3 linked regions of the Coturnix japonica genome follow. The protein of the gene in region 3 interacts with the protein of the main gene of each other region in a pairwise test. Links are inferred from orthologs where the notes say so. Each region holds a gene or a part of one and is shown on either strand. Other genes may lie near its edges. The genes, in order: TRAM1, PNRC2 and ESR1.

The links.
Region 1: the proteins of ESR1 (region 3) and TRAM1 interact in a two-hybrid assay, tested with the Homo sapiens proteins (2 studies listed by BioGRID). The link is inferred for Coturnix japonica from reciprocal best matches to the Homo sapiens genes ESR1 and TRAM1.
Region 2: the proteins of ESR1 (region 3) and PNRC2 interact in a two-hybrid assay, tested with the Homo sapiens proteins (2 studies listed by BioGRID and IntAct). The link is inferred for Coturnix japonica from reciprocal best matches to the Homo sapiens genes ESR1 and PNRC2.

What each region holds. Positions count from the first base shown.
Region 1 is NC_029517.1:105,770,319-105,774,729, forward strand, and holds the start of TRAM1 (translocating chain-associated membrane protein 1), read right to left. Parts: upstream 2,943-4,411; 5' UTR 2,779-2,942; coding exon 2,656-2,778; intron 1,000-2,655; coding exon 936-999; intron 339-935; coding exon 217-338; intron 26-216; coding exon 1-25. UniProt on the Homo sapiens protein: Involved in the translocation of nascent protein chains into or through the endoplasmic reticulum (ER) membrane by facilitating the proper chain positioning at the SEC61 channel.
Region 2 is NC_029538.1:4,928,292-4,932,661, forward strand, and holds the start of PNRC2 (proline-rich nuclear receptor coactivator 2), read left to right. Parts: upstream 1-1,551; 5' UTR 1,552-1,681; intron 1,682-1,883; exon of another isoform or gene 1,884-1,941; 5' UTR 1,942-2,147; intron 2,148-2,839; 5' UTR 2,840-2,857; coding exon 2,858-3,283; 3' UTR 3,284-4,370. Other genes in the region: FUCA1 (tissue alpha-L-fucosidase), read right to left, coding at 1-18. UniProt on the Homo sapiens protein: Involved in nonsense-mediated mRNA decay (NMD) by acting as a bridge between the mRNA decapping complex and the NMD machinery. May act by targeting the NMD machinery to the P-body and recruiting the decapping machinery to aberrant mRNAs.
Region 3 is NC_029518.1:44,172,464-44,176,841, forward strand, and holds the start of ESR1 (estrogen receptor 1), read left to right. Parts: upstream 1-1,436; coding exon 1,437-1,870; intron 1,871-4,378.

The sequences.
Region 1 (4,411 bases), on a different chromosome or scaffold from region 3:
AAAAGTGCATTTTCCTGTTAATTTTCTGAAATGAAAGTCCACTGTTATTTATATGTTCTTGTACTAAACATCACCTGTTACCTGCATTAGAACATCTGAATGCTCCAATGAATGCCTTAGCATTTTAAAAGGTAAACTTTAGCATTAAATTATTTAAGTTAACGGTCAAAGTCTGACTATTATCATGATTAAAGGAATTAAGTCTTTTGTACTTACATCCAATACATACTCCTGAATAATAGCGTGTATGATTATTGCTACGAGCATATAGAAGAAAATCGTAGCCAAGTCTTTGATGCCATAGTGATAGAGAGAGATTGTTTCTGCAGATTGTTCTTCTAGAAGACAGAAACAGAATTAACTGTTAGTTAGGCACTGATACAGTTTTATGGCCAACAAGTTTGTTTCTTAACGTGAAACCTTTCAGACAAAAGTCATTTGTTGTCAGCTGAACAAATCTAAGTCCAATTAAACCACCACCCTGAGCTAGGTCACTAGACTCCATTTACAGTAATCTTCTCCATCACATCAGAAACTCAATCTGATTTTGGAAGGATGTAATATAAAAATGGAAACTCAAGTGCACTTAGGAAGCTTAGACAAATGCACTGAAAGGGAACTATAAAATTACATTCAACTATCAGCCCTCCCCCCAACTAAGTAGAACAGATCATCACTTGCATAACCAGAGTAAGAATATGAACTTATTAACCAGTGAAACTGAGCTTCAGGATTGAGAACAAACCCAGCAAAGCAGAAACATTTTCCCCAACGCAATTAAAACTCTTAAAACTCTTTCCTGCCTATTCAAACTCAACTCTTTCCTGTCTATTCAAACTCAGTACCTTATCCTCAGTTTAGGGCATACAACACGTTAGCGGTATCTGAGGATACAACCCCATGACTAACCAAGCACCTGCAAGGCACATACATACCTGTGGCAGGAATGGTAACGTTATACTGAAGAGTGACAAAAATGACAGCTGCTTTGGCTGTAATCTGAAAAAGAAAAATGCACAAGTGCTGTAGAATCTCACCAACATAAACTAAAAAATCTTTGTTCTGAAGTCTTTTTGGGGCAGGGAGATGATACCTTCACAAAACAAAACAAAAGCAGCAATTCTTGTTCATCAACAACAATTGCCAAGTGTAAGACATTTTGCTACCTGAAGATCCCCACCACATTATTACAATGATTCAAAGGAAACTGGATTTCTTCTTAAATCTTTACTTTTTTTTCCCCACTGAAACAGCACTCTGTCAACAAGCACCAGGTTTTCTTGGAACCGTCTCTGTGTAACTTCTGAGAACCCAACTAAGCTGCCAGAATTGGTTCAAATGCCCAGGGCTTGCTATCCGTGGAAGGAGCCTCCAAAGGACTCACAGCACCAGCCAGTTCTGATGTGCCATGCCAAGGCTTACTCAGCTAACACTGCTCAGCTGAGCAAGGTCAAGGCAGCATCAATACCGTACCGTACCAGCACTGACTGTGGCAGGTGAAATCCAAGGCCTGTACATAAGCATTTCTGAGACCCTGGCAATCTGCTAAGCCTCACCATATGTATAACAGAGGCACATGATCCATCTGTGCCAAGATATAAAGTAAATGTCCTGAAGTGAAAATCTGGAGACTAAGACTTTGGCACACCCAACCCACCCAACGCTACCAGCAATGTGGTAAATAAGCAATAAGCATACACACATGGGAAGGGTTTAGGTCTGTATCTTTAACCTCAGACTCCACAAAACCACACTGTAAGGTCTGGAGTGATTTCTAGGCGACTTTTGATAGTAAAACCACACAAAGCAGCATTCTCGGTGTGTCCCATCTTTGCTTTTGAGATGTTGGGAGGTTTTCAAGCCCCACCGTGCCCCTACACCTAAGCAGTACAAAGGCTGGGTAAAACTCTGCCGAAAGCCATCTATCTACATGGGTAAAACACCCACTGGCTGGGGCTCTGAAGAGCCACAACCGTGCCAAGCGGACGTGTCCTACTGCGATAGGGCACGCTGGGAACACCTCACGACGGCTCTCATAAGGGAACCCAGCACGGCACACTCGGCTCATCACACCCACACTGGGTTTCTGGGTTACTCGGAGCTCCGCAGGCCCTGTGGGCCGGGCCGGCCGCAGTGAGCCGGCGTTGGCCGGGTGATGCTCGCCCCTCGGCCCGCTTGGCGGCCGTAGGTACACGTCACCGCTGGCCGCCCTTCCCCCTGCGGGCTGCGCGGCGCCGCGCGGCCTCACGGGAGTGGTAGTGCCGGCGGGGCCGTCCGTGCAGCGCACACAAAGAGCGCGGTAAGGCAGGGCAGGGCAGGGCCGGGCCGCGCCTCCCCGCCGCCCCCCTCCGCCTCCCCCGGTCCGAACGCGGCCACACGCCGCGCACCCCTCCCTCCCTCCCCCGGCCGAGTGCCACGTAACCCCGCCGTGTGGCGGTGCACGGTCCCGCTCGAGAGGAGGCTGCGGCGGGCAGCGCGTCTCCGCGCCGAGGCGGCGAAGAGGGCGTTCCCGGAGGGGCCGGGCCCCGGGGAGCGGGGACGCGTTGCCCGCCCGGGCTCCCCCCCGTACGGCCGCGATCGCGGCACCGCGCTGCCGCCCGCCCCCGGGCCGCACGGGGCTCCCGGCGAAGGGGGAGGAGGGAGCGGGAGCCTCACCTCGAACATGAGCCCCAGCAGGAAGATCATGGCCATGCAGGACACGATGTCGGCGTGGTTCTGCACGATGAACTCGTGGCTCAGCACCGGCGGGTTCTTGTTGCTCTTCTTGCGGATCGCCATGGCGGGCCGGGAGCTGGGCGCCGCCGCCTCCCCGCTGCCAGCACAGCTCTCGCCGCGGCCAGGAAGAGGCGGGGGGGAGGAGGCGGCCGCGCAGCAGAGGAATGGCAGCAGCCGCCGCTTCACCCCGCCCCGCCCGCCGCGGCCCCGAGCGGCCCTTCCTCCGCTGCCCGGCCGCTGGGAGCAGCCCCCGTCGCTGCCCGCCAGCGCCCCTGCCGGCCGGAGGGGTCTTCGGCCCGCTCGCCCGCCCGCGGGGAGGCGGTGGCTCGCCGCCTCGCAGCCCCCGACGGCGACGTGAGGGGCGGCCGGGGCTCCTCGGACGGCGCTACGTGGCTGCGACCGCCTGCCGGCCTGCGTTGCACAAAGCCGCCTTCGGTTTTCTCTTCCGCCTCTCTGGCGAAGTTTAGTTTCCATGAGGCCGTCGCTAGCTGGTCGTCGGGTGAACGGAGGATGCCGTTAGGAAACGGCATTCGTTGGGTTTGTTTATGGTTACGGCCTCGGGGTAGGAACTAACAGCAGGTTCCTGCCAGCCCATAGCACGGAACAACACACATCCAAACAACCTGGAGTCCCAGGACGAGAAAAGTTACCCCATTAAAAGGGCAAAAAAGCCCCTAAATCAGAAATATGGAAGGGATCGAGCATTTTTAACAGCCCTAAATGAGTTCATGAATAAAAGCTGACAGTACAAAGCAGAGAATGCCCTCAATGATGCATTTTAGTATTACAGGAAATCATCAGACATCAGGAAGAACTTCTCGATCACTATCAGTGCTGATAAGATAACAAAAGGTGACAAGGAATTAAAAATGCATCCTGCCACTTACCATCTGCTTGCGTTAGAAAGACAATACTCCAACTGGCAAGAACTGAACAAGATAATAAAGAGGGATGAGGGAACGGACACGGGGAAATGGTTTTAAGTTGAAAGAGGGAAGATTTAGGTTGGATGTTAGGGGGAAGTTGTTCACTAGGAGAGTGGTTAGGCCCTGGAACAGGCTGCCCAGGGAGGTTGTGGATGCCCCGTCCTTGGAGGTGTTCAAGACCAGGTTGGACGGGGCCCTGGGCAACCTGATCTAGTAAAGGTGTATGTTTGGTGGCCCTGCCAGGCAGGGGGGTTGGAACTACATGATCCTTGAGGTCCCTTCCAACCCGGGTCATTGTGTGATTCTGTGATCTGTGAATTAAGCAATTGTGAGAAGGGCAGGAGAAGGACTGAGGATTCTCTGGGTTAAAGAAGTTCCCTGAAAACAACGGCAAGACAAGACATCTTAGGTTGATCACTTGCTGGAATCTGTAACATCAATTTTCTGAGAGCTGTTTAGATTGACAGTGTAGCTGCACTGTACTTCATTAGGAAAAAGGAAAGTGAAAACCATTCAGCAGCAAGAAATAAGGTTCTGAACTTGGCACACAGGTGCCACCTAAAATCTCACAGTCAGCAAGGAGTCTTAAGGCTTGAGCAATGTCACAGATGCAAGTGTACGTCTTAGTGCAAACTCTGCTTTAAACAATTCAGAGACACCACATATACCACGAAAGACAAGTCTGGTCAAACTGCTGTTTCCCTCATCCCTCAAGAATTCTGGGTGTTGGCTGCATCACAGTATAGAATATGTAGTTCTTTACATCGCAT
Region 2 (4,370 bases), on a different chromosome or scaffold from region 3:
CAGCCCGCCCGCCGCCATGATGACGATGACGTCACGCGGCCGCCGCCATCACAGCGCGGAGCTGCGGGTGCCCGGCCGTGTCCTCCCGGCTGCGGGGCTGCGCGACGTGCTGCCCCCACCCGCCTCTGCCCCGCGGTGTGTCCCGACACCGCCCGCACCCTGAGGGTGTTCGTACTTGTCTCCATTACTTCCCTCCCCATTGAGCGCCCACTTCTTACTGCTGCTGTTCTGTGCTTCCCAGCAGCTGTGACACCCACCGACCAGCCCGTGATGTGCTGCAGAACCCGCTGAGGCCCTGACCCCACACTCTGCTCCCAGCTGCTCACTGGGGAACAAACATTGGCAGCTGCAGCGTTTTCTGTTGCACCCGGAGCATTTTGATCCCGATTTGCGTCTCTTGGCATGTTGGAGCAGAGCAGTCCTGGACTTTGGGCTGAAATGTGGCTTAGCGTTGCAACAAGCTGCTCCTCTCTTACGTCAGGTTCTGGGGCAACCAGCAGGACCACAGCGATTGCACTCCAACCTCAGCATCCCATGCTTCCTGCAGCTCTTTGCAGGACATCACAAATGCAGCAGTCATTATGTCATTATTCTCAATGTCATTATTCAGTGACAGCCCTTGTCTCCCCAGACGGGTGCACTGTGCAGCCAGGTGGGTTTTGACCCATCTCAGCTCACCAGGGAGCTCCTCAGGTGCCCAAATCTCCCTCAGAAATCGCTGCCACCCAAACCAAGGCATCTCTTAAACAAACGGCACCTTGACGTCTCTGAATTGCACACAGCTTTCCCAGGACTGTCTTAAATTCTCCATACCCGCATTTACGCAGTGTCCAAAGAACATTACAACGGTGTTCAAGAGATGTTTAGATGTTGTACCACAGGACACAGCCTGGTGGGGAAATACTGGTGGTAGGTGGGCGGCTGGGCTCAATGATCTCGGGGGTCTTTTCCAACCTTAATGACTCTGATTCTGTGACTCTGTGCTGGGGAGACTGGAAACCCCCTGAACACAAAGCGGGTGCCATAAGGTGAGCACAGCGCTTATGGTCCGCGCACAACGCGGGAACGTCAGTTCGGCCCCAGACCCGGCGGGTTCGGCCCCGTTGCTGGAGGCCGCGGTGCCGGCTGCGGTTCGTGCGGTTCGTGCTGCTCGGCCGCCCCCGCCCGGCCGGAGCTGCGCCCTGCACCCACGGCGCGGGGGAACGAGCGCTCAGCCCGCAACGCGTCCAACTGCTTGTGCTCCAGCCTGAGGCTGTTCCTGCTCTGCAGCCAGCGCGGGGACGGGAGCGGGAGCAGAACGGCACGAGGGAGCGGGAAGCGAACGGCGGGAAACGAACGGCGGGAGCAGAACGGCGGGAAACGAACGGCGGGAGCAGAACGGCGGGAGGGAGGAGGAAGGAGGGAGGGATCAGCCGCAGCCGGTCCGAGCTGCCGCGGGGCGGCGCCGTTGGTTCCCGCGCTGCGGGGATTCGAACCGGACCCCGCCCCATCACGCCGACGGGGGAAACTTGCCTCTCATTGGCTGCGGGGAGTACGCAGCGCGCTCCTATTGGCTGGAGAGCGGCGACTTGGGAGAAGGGAGAGGGGGAGAGGTTATAAAAGGCGACGGGAGCGGCCGCCATTTTGTGTGGGGCCGGGGACGCGGCGGGGCGGGACGTGACGGTACCGAGCGGCGGGTCGGGTCGGTTCGGACGGGCCTGAGTGTGTGTGTGTGTCTGTGTGTGTGTGTCTGTGTTGTGTGTGTGTGTACGGAGCGGACAGCAGTCGGTAAAGGCGGGGCGCTGCGGTTGGGCCGGGTGCCGCCATGTTGTGCTCGTGACGCCATTGTTGGGGTCGGGGCGTGGATCTGTGTGAATTCCATCGTTTCTAACGTTCTTTTGTAGCTCCAAACTTGAAGGGGAAAAGTTGTTCCCCGTGTCTGACTCCAGACTCTTCCTGCAGCTGTGACTTCTCCCCTTGGAGTTTAGTGCCGAGAAGCTGATGTTGGCTTCGGCTGCCTGGCTGAATACGGCGGATCGGCCCATGAAAACCTGCGCCCGGAGCCAAAGGAAGGAGAGCAGCGAAAGGCAGCACCTGCTATTGCAGGCTTGGAAGCAAGAAAGGGGGCGAGGATTGGAGAGCGTGGAGTCGGAAACGGCCACTGAGAGGTAACTGAGATGTGCAGGGATGGGATGGTTCAGGGGACACAGCCGTGACAGCGCCTGGCTTTTCTTTCAGGTCCACTTACAAACGGCTGCTTCACACTTGAACGTTTTCAGTTCAGTTGTGGTTTTTAACTCGTGTCCCACAGCTGTGCTCACATCTGTGCTGCTTCCTCATCTCCTGCCAGAAAAATCTGCTCTGGAACGTATCTCATGCCTACATTGCCTTCACTGACTGTACCTGCTTAGGAATATCAGCAGTTAAAAGTAGTATTTGTTAGACTGGGGCATGCCTTTATCCGTGCAGATTTCTCTCTAAGTATAACATAGGCTTGGTTTAAATGTCTTCAGTGTTAACCCTTTCATTTGACGTTGTTTTGTGAACAGTGCACCTTTCACATTTTCCTAGTGCAGTTTGTGGAGGGAATTAGTGGCACGTCCAGTGGTTGGGCTGTGCAGAGGAGCAGCTTTTTCATCAATAGGTAGACAGAGCTGTGTATTGATGAAGGACTGGTCTGTATCCAGTTCCTGAAGGATGGATCAGTGCACGATGACCAGCAGATCAGCCATTAGCAGCAGAATTGTTAAGCCATTTTAGAGGGAGTATCTGCCACTAGGAAGACACATTGCACTGTAGTTCAGTTTTCCTGGGTTTAAAAAAGGAAAAGAAAAATACAAACTTTTCCCTTTCTTTACAGGTGACATTTAACTTGAAAATGGGTGGCGGAGAGAGGTTCAGCATTCCAGTTCCCCAGTCTAGAAATATTACCAAGAACCATCAACAACTTAAAAACAGGCAGAAGAATAAAGACCAGAATTCACAGATGAAGAAAACCTGTATGAAGAAAGAAAGAGGACATGGATGCAACTCCTTGTCTGGTGCATGGCAGGCCATGCAGAAGGCAGGAAAGAACAACATTCATTTCCCCTGTAATCAAAATTGGAGTCCTGATCTGTCAAACCGTAACCTATTTTTCTCACCTCAGACCAATCAGAACTATGCAGGAGCAAAGTTTAGTGAACCACCCTCACCAAGTGTTCTTCCCAAGCCACCAAGCCACTGGGTGCCTGTTTCTTTTAAACCTTCTGATAAAGAAATAATGACATTTCAGCTTAAAACATTGCTAAAAGTCCAGGCTTGAGATGGAACTTTAAATGATAAAAGATTTATCAATTAGTTATTTGAATTTACAGGCTCCAACTTTGAGACTAGCTATTCAGAAGTGCAGATGCACGGGTAACAGGACTAAATGTTCTTGCTGCATGTAGTTGGAAGAGAAGGAGGCAGGTAGGGACGCTTACATTCCCAATGTTTTACCTCAAAAGTTGTGTGCTTTCTTGATTTTGCTATTACATTAATTTGATTAAATCCTAGACTGTCACCATTTACTGTAAGAGTTAATGGGACTGTCCCTAAAAATTGGAATTGAGAGTCCTTGTTAATGGCATTGGAAGGCCAACTTTTGCTGAACTTGATGCAGCATTAACTGGAAAAAACAAACACTCTGCAAGCTTTAATGAGGTGCTCTGCCTTTGCCTTTTCACCTTTTATCAGATTTTCTAGTTAAAACTCTTCTGAGCAGCAATTCCTAGTGAAAATGCAAAGAGGATTTGTTTTTTTTCAGACCTTTGAGATCTGACACTCAAGCTTGTGACTAAAATTTAGTTTTAAGAAACATTTCTACATGTTCTTGAAAAAAGGTGGAAGAACACAGTAAAGAAGTCTGTATCTCCAGCTCCAGCAGTATTTCATTGCAACCTCAACAAATTAGACTGCCAGTTAATGACACGTTTTGCATTGCCAGGTGACTGCCAGAAATTCCCCAAATTCTTTGTATTCTGATGCACTGATAAGTTCTAAATTCTTTTTTTTTTCCTGTTTTGTATAATTTTGTAATTGTGAGAAAGCTGGAGAGTAGTTACTTATAACTTTAAATTGGTTACTCTACAATTACTTTAAGTTACAGTATCTTATGTAGGTATATGATGTTTTCATAGGGAAAAGAGAGCCATGTAAATAAGTGTAATACTTTGTAGCATATGTAAATTTATGCTGGACTTTCCTGCATAGAGGTATTTTTAGAACAAAAGTGGTAAATGGAAGGTGGCCATGCTGAGTACGTGGCCTGATCTAAAAGAAAAGAATTATTTTGTTAAACACAAAAGGACATTTATAGATGTAGCCTTGGACTTAATATACAGTGAATGTGTACATTTTATGTGGTCATG
Region 3 (4,378 bases):
ATACATTCAGTTTTCTGGTTTCTTGCATTTTTTCAAAGGTTGCATTGAATAACTGTGGAGTTGTTTAGTGTAGGCTTTGCTCGTATTCAAATCATACTAACTCAAGTCCATATATTAATGTGTTTAGGGTCAACATTAACCTGTTTAACTGAGTGAATTGCAGACCACAACAATGATGCTAGAGAAATTGGGACGGTTTCTGAAGGTTTTCATTTAGCTGGTTCAGGAGATGTGGTTTGTGAAAAGTTAAAATTATTTGGGATGAGATTGCAAGATGAGGTATGCATGCCACACCTTTTCATTATGTCCTTTCTCCACCTTTTTTTTTTTTTTTTTTTTTTTTTCCCCTAAAGATAACTTTGAGAATTATTTCAGTTTACTTTAACACTGATTCCAATCAAGTACTTTATTTTCAAGTTGATAGCAAAATCTAAGCTTGCTGAGCTTTTGTTTGTGGGAATAGAAAAAAATAAAATAAAAAATCCTGTATTCCTTTTTTGTGCGCTGAAATCTTTCTTCCTAGTTTCTAAGGTCTTACCATGGCAAAGTCTGAAAGATGCTTTGCTTCATTGTTTTACAAGGTAAAACAGAAACAGACAGGAATTTATGGGCTAATCTAAATTTTTTCCTCACTTTTTTTAATGTAAATTTTCACTTCACTAGTTTGGGTCACTGTTACTGATAAAGCTTGTTATAAACCTTTTGTCCTACACAAATCTTTTACATTCTTTAATTTCTGTTAGCTAGTTTTGTTGACAGAGACTTGTTACACACACAGATGCATGCGCTTGCACATGCATTTTGCTTTGCCATATCTCAGTTACAGCATAGTCCTATCCAGGGTCATTACAATGTACACATTACATATTTCTAGCAAACATGAAAATGAATCAAACAGGGAGAGATAAGCACAGATAGATTGGAGCCTGCTGAGGAAATAAAAGGCAGTAATCTGGCTGACCACTGGACTAGTCTTTCTGGTCTGATTTCAGCGTCCTTTCCCGTTAGCTGCTGTGGAGTGCTGGCTGCCCTGCAGTGAAAAATTAAATGACTAGCAAGAATAAAGTAACATTTAGTGGGACAATTGTTTGGTGTACCTCCAAAACTAATTGTTTCTGAAGTGATGTTTAAATCAGCGTCGGCACAAGGCAAGAGCCCCTGGCTTGCAGCCAGCACCTTGTAACGCATATTAGAGCAGATGAGGAGTTCTCAAAAGTTAGAGGGAGAGGGAGAATGTGCCTTTCCAGTGCTCACCCTGCATTTGTTTGTATACTCCTCCTCGCCGAGATCAGAGGAATACCTGTGTAGTGCTGCTTTAACATGATTTCTGCTGAGCCTCAGAATAGGTTCTGGTGTTTTTTTTAGGTGGACTGCCAGCTGCCGATCTTGCTGTTGACAGTAAAAGCAGATATGTTCCTTGCTCCCTGCCATTAGCAATGACCATGACCCTTCACACCAAAGCCTCTGGAGTTACCCTGCTGCACCAGATTCAAGGCACTGAACTGGAGACTCTGAGCAGACCTCAGCTGAAGATTCCCCTGGAACGATCGCTCAGCGACATGTACGTGGAAAGCAACAAGACAGGAGTTTTTAACTACCCAGAAGGGGCCACCTACGATTTTGGTACTACCGCTCCAGTGTACGGCTCTACTACACTCAGTTATGCCCCTACTTCTGAATCTTTTGGGTCCAGCAGCCTGGCAGGATTTCACTCTCTGAACAATGTCCCACCAAGCCCAGTGGTGTTCTTGCAAACGGCACCCCAGCTCTCACCCTTCATCCATCACCACAGCCAGCAGGTACCCTACTACCTTGAAAACGAACAGGGCAGCTTCGGGATGAGGGAAACTGCTCCTCCAGCCTTCTACAGGTAAGTGCAACAGAGAATTTCTCTTTCTTCTTTAAGCAGCTATGCTGAGAAATCAGAATATTGAAATATGTCTGCCCTACACTTTCATTTTTGTGTAAAGGACTGTGTAATCTTGTGGAATCTTCCATGATATCGGGACCATAAAAATAGCAGAGGATAAAACAAAACTGTAACTCACAGCTTACTGTGCCTGTGATCTGTAAATAATGAAAACTGTAAGTAAATGGGAAACAAATTAGATAATGAGTGTAAATGTTTCCTGGGAAAACATGAAATCATAATTGATTAAGGAGTGGCAAACAATCTCCTTGTTGCAGTATATTAAAATTACTGTCTAGAAGCATACTGAAAATGTGCAATTGGCTGTTTGTTCAGCTCTTAGCTGCTAGTAAGAGTATTACTTACCTCTGGTATCCTTTACAGGATAAGTGACTTATATAGGAAGTAGTTCACAGGCACAATATCCTTCCAAATCAAACTGTTTGAACTGATTCAATGACAGTATTTCAGTCAGCAACCACTTTAATGAGCTGCAATAAGAGCTATGTGCCTTGCATTTTTAATCAAACTTTGATATATATTAAGCATAAATCTAGCATGCTGCATTTCAAAATAATTTTTATAAATTTAAATATGATTTCTTTTTAAATTTATATTTATCCTTCAATAGAAGAATTTTAATACGCACTGGAAATTGTGAAAGCATATACTTAATTTCTGACATATGTGTGAGAAACTGATAGAACTGTAGCTTCCAGGAAAATATAATCAAACACACCAGTACTCACATTGTTAATCTTTGTGCACTGTTAATAGCTTAATTTTTTACTGGCATATAATAATGGACTATAGCAAATTAAAGTGAACGGTTAGCTCCTAAATGCTGTCCATGTCAGCTTATTTGTGAAATACAGGTGATTTTTATACAAATGGAGAGACCCTCTAAAAATAAAACCAGGTTATCCTTTCCCTGTCGAGGCCAGACTTAACTGTTGCTGGGAACAGCAATGTAGGTTATTAAACACAGTGTCACGCAACCTGAGATAATCTTGTAGCAGAATCTGATCCAAAAAAACAGATGGTGATTGCACTTTTTGCAAATGATTAATCGGTTTTGGGGATCAAGTGGAATAAAGACAAGTGAAAAGATAACGGTTAGGCCAGGCAGCCCAACTAATATGTCTCTTAGCTGAACTGATTCAGACAAAATGTATTTTAGAGCAACTGAAGGCAATAACTCTAGGAGGAATTAATGTACTTGAACATTGAGTATCTGGATTGTTTAACAGTGATGTGGGTGTGAAAGTGTGTTTTGCACTAGATTCCATGTTGTTTTTATTTTATTTTTATTTTTATTTTTTTTTTATTTTTCAATATGATTATCCAGGGCAAAACTCTGTTAGAAAGCGTTTAAGGGACATGTGGTGTGTAAACAGCTGAACAGTGAGTTTGTGAAGCTGAAATGCACATGCAGGAAATGGGCTAAAGTGAGGGCTTTTTACTTGAGGAGGGAGAAAAACCAAGAATCAGTTGGAAATGAAAACTGAACTGTGGAAATGGCATTATTTTATTTTCTAACAGTGAGCGGAGGTGGGACACTTCAAAATAAAAATGGCATACATTGTAGTAGTAACATTCAGGCACTGCAACAAGCATTAAAGGGCAGCGGTGTATTCCCATTGTCCTGATGTTTTCAGTCAAGGATAGGCATGTCCTTTCAAGATGCATTTTAGATGTATATAATATATGAGGCTTAAAGCAGTGGAAATTAGGTGAATGTATGATCTTGGTTGTGCAGGTGGTTTATCCGAATACAGAGTTACAAGACTGATTTAATGGCCTCTTCTGGCCTTGATTCTGTATTGCACATTTGACATGGTAATAGGAAATGTGGAACAAAGTCCTCCCCATGATTATCGTCTGTTACGAGGCATAGTACTGTTAGGATTAAATAGACAAAGCTTTGCTGTTTAAAAATTTCACAAAGACCATATTTGGGAAGTTGTCATATTGACAAAATTAAATGTTAGGTTCTTATTCTTGTATACCAGTTATAAATAGTATGCTAGAAATATTCTAAATAGGTGTTCGGTGTCTGGGAGACATCTCATTATCTAATCATGAGGTACAAGAGCAAGTTCTTTCAAAAATTTTAGTGCATTATTTTCCAATTTGCTTTATTCATTTGTCTGTTCCAATCCCACCTGAATTCAAAAGAGAACATAAGGCAGTGTAATCTGGCAACAAACACATAGATTTTGGAGATTTGAAGATGTCTAAGTAACAAAATGATGAATTTCTGATGTAACATACTAGTATGAGTGGTAAAGGCGTAAAAAACTAAAACCAAAGCCATACAAAAATTTAAATTCTATCATGATCAGTTTATGATCGCTTTCTTGCTGTGATAATAAGTAATATAACCAGAGTCTCAAAAAGCCCCCTTGAAAATTCTTATTTGCCCTTTTGGTGCAGCAGTTGTGCTGTTTAGCTTGCAATACTGTAAAG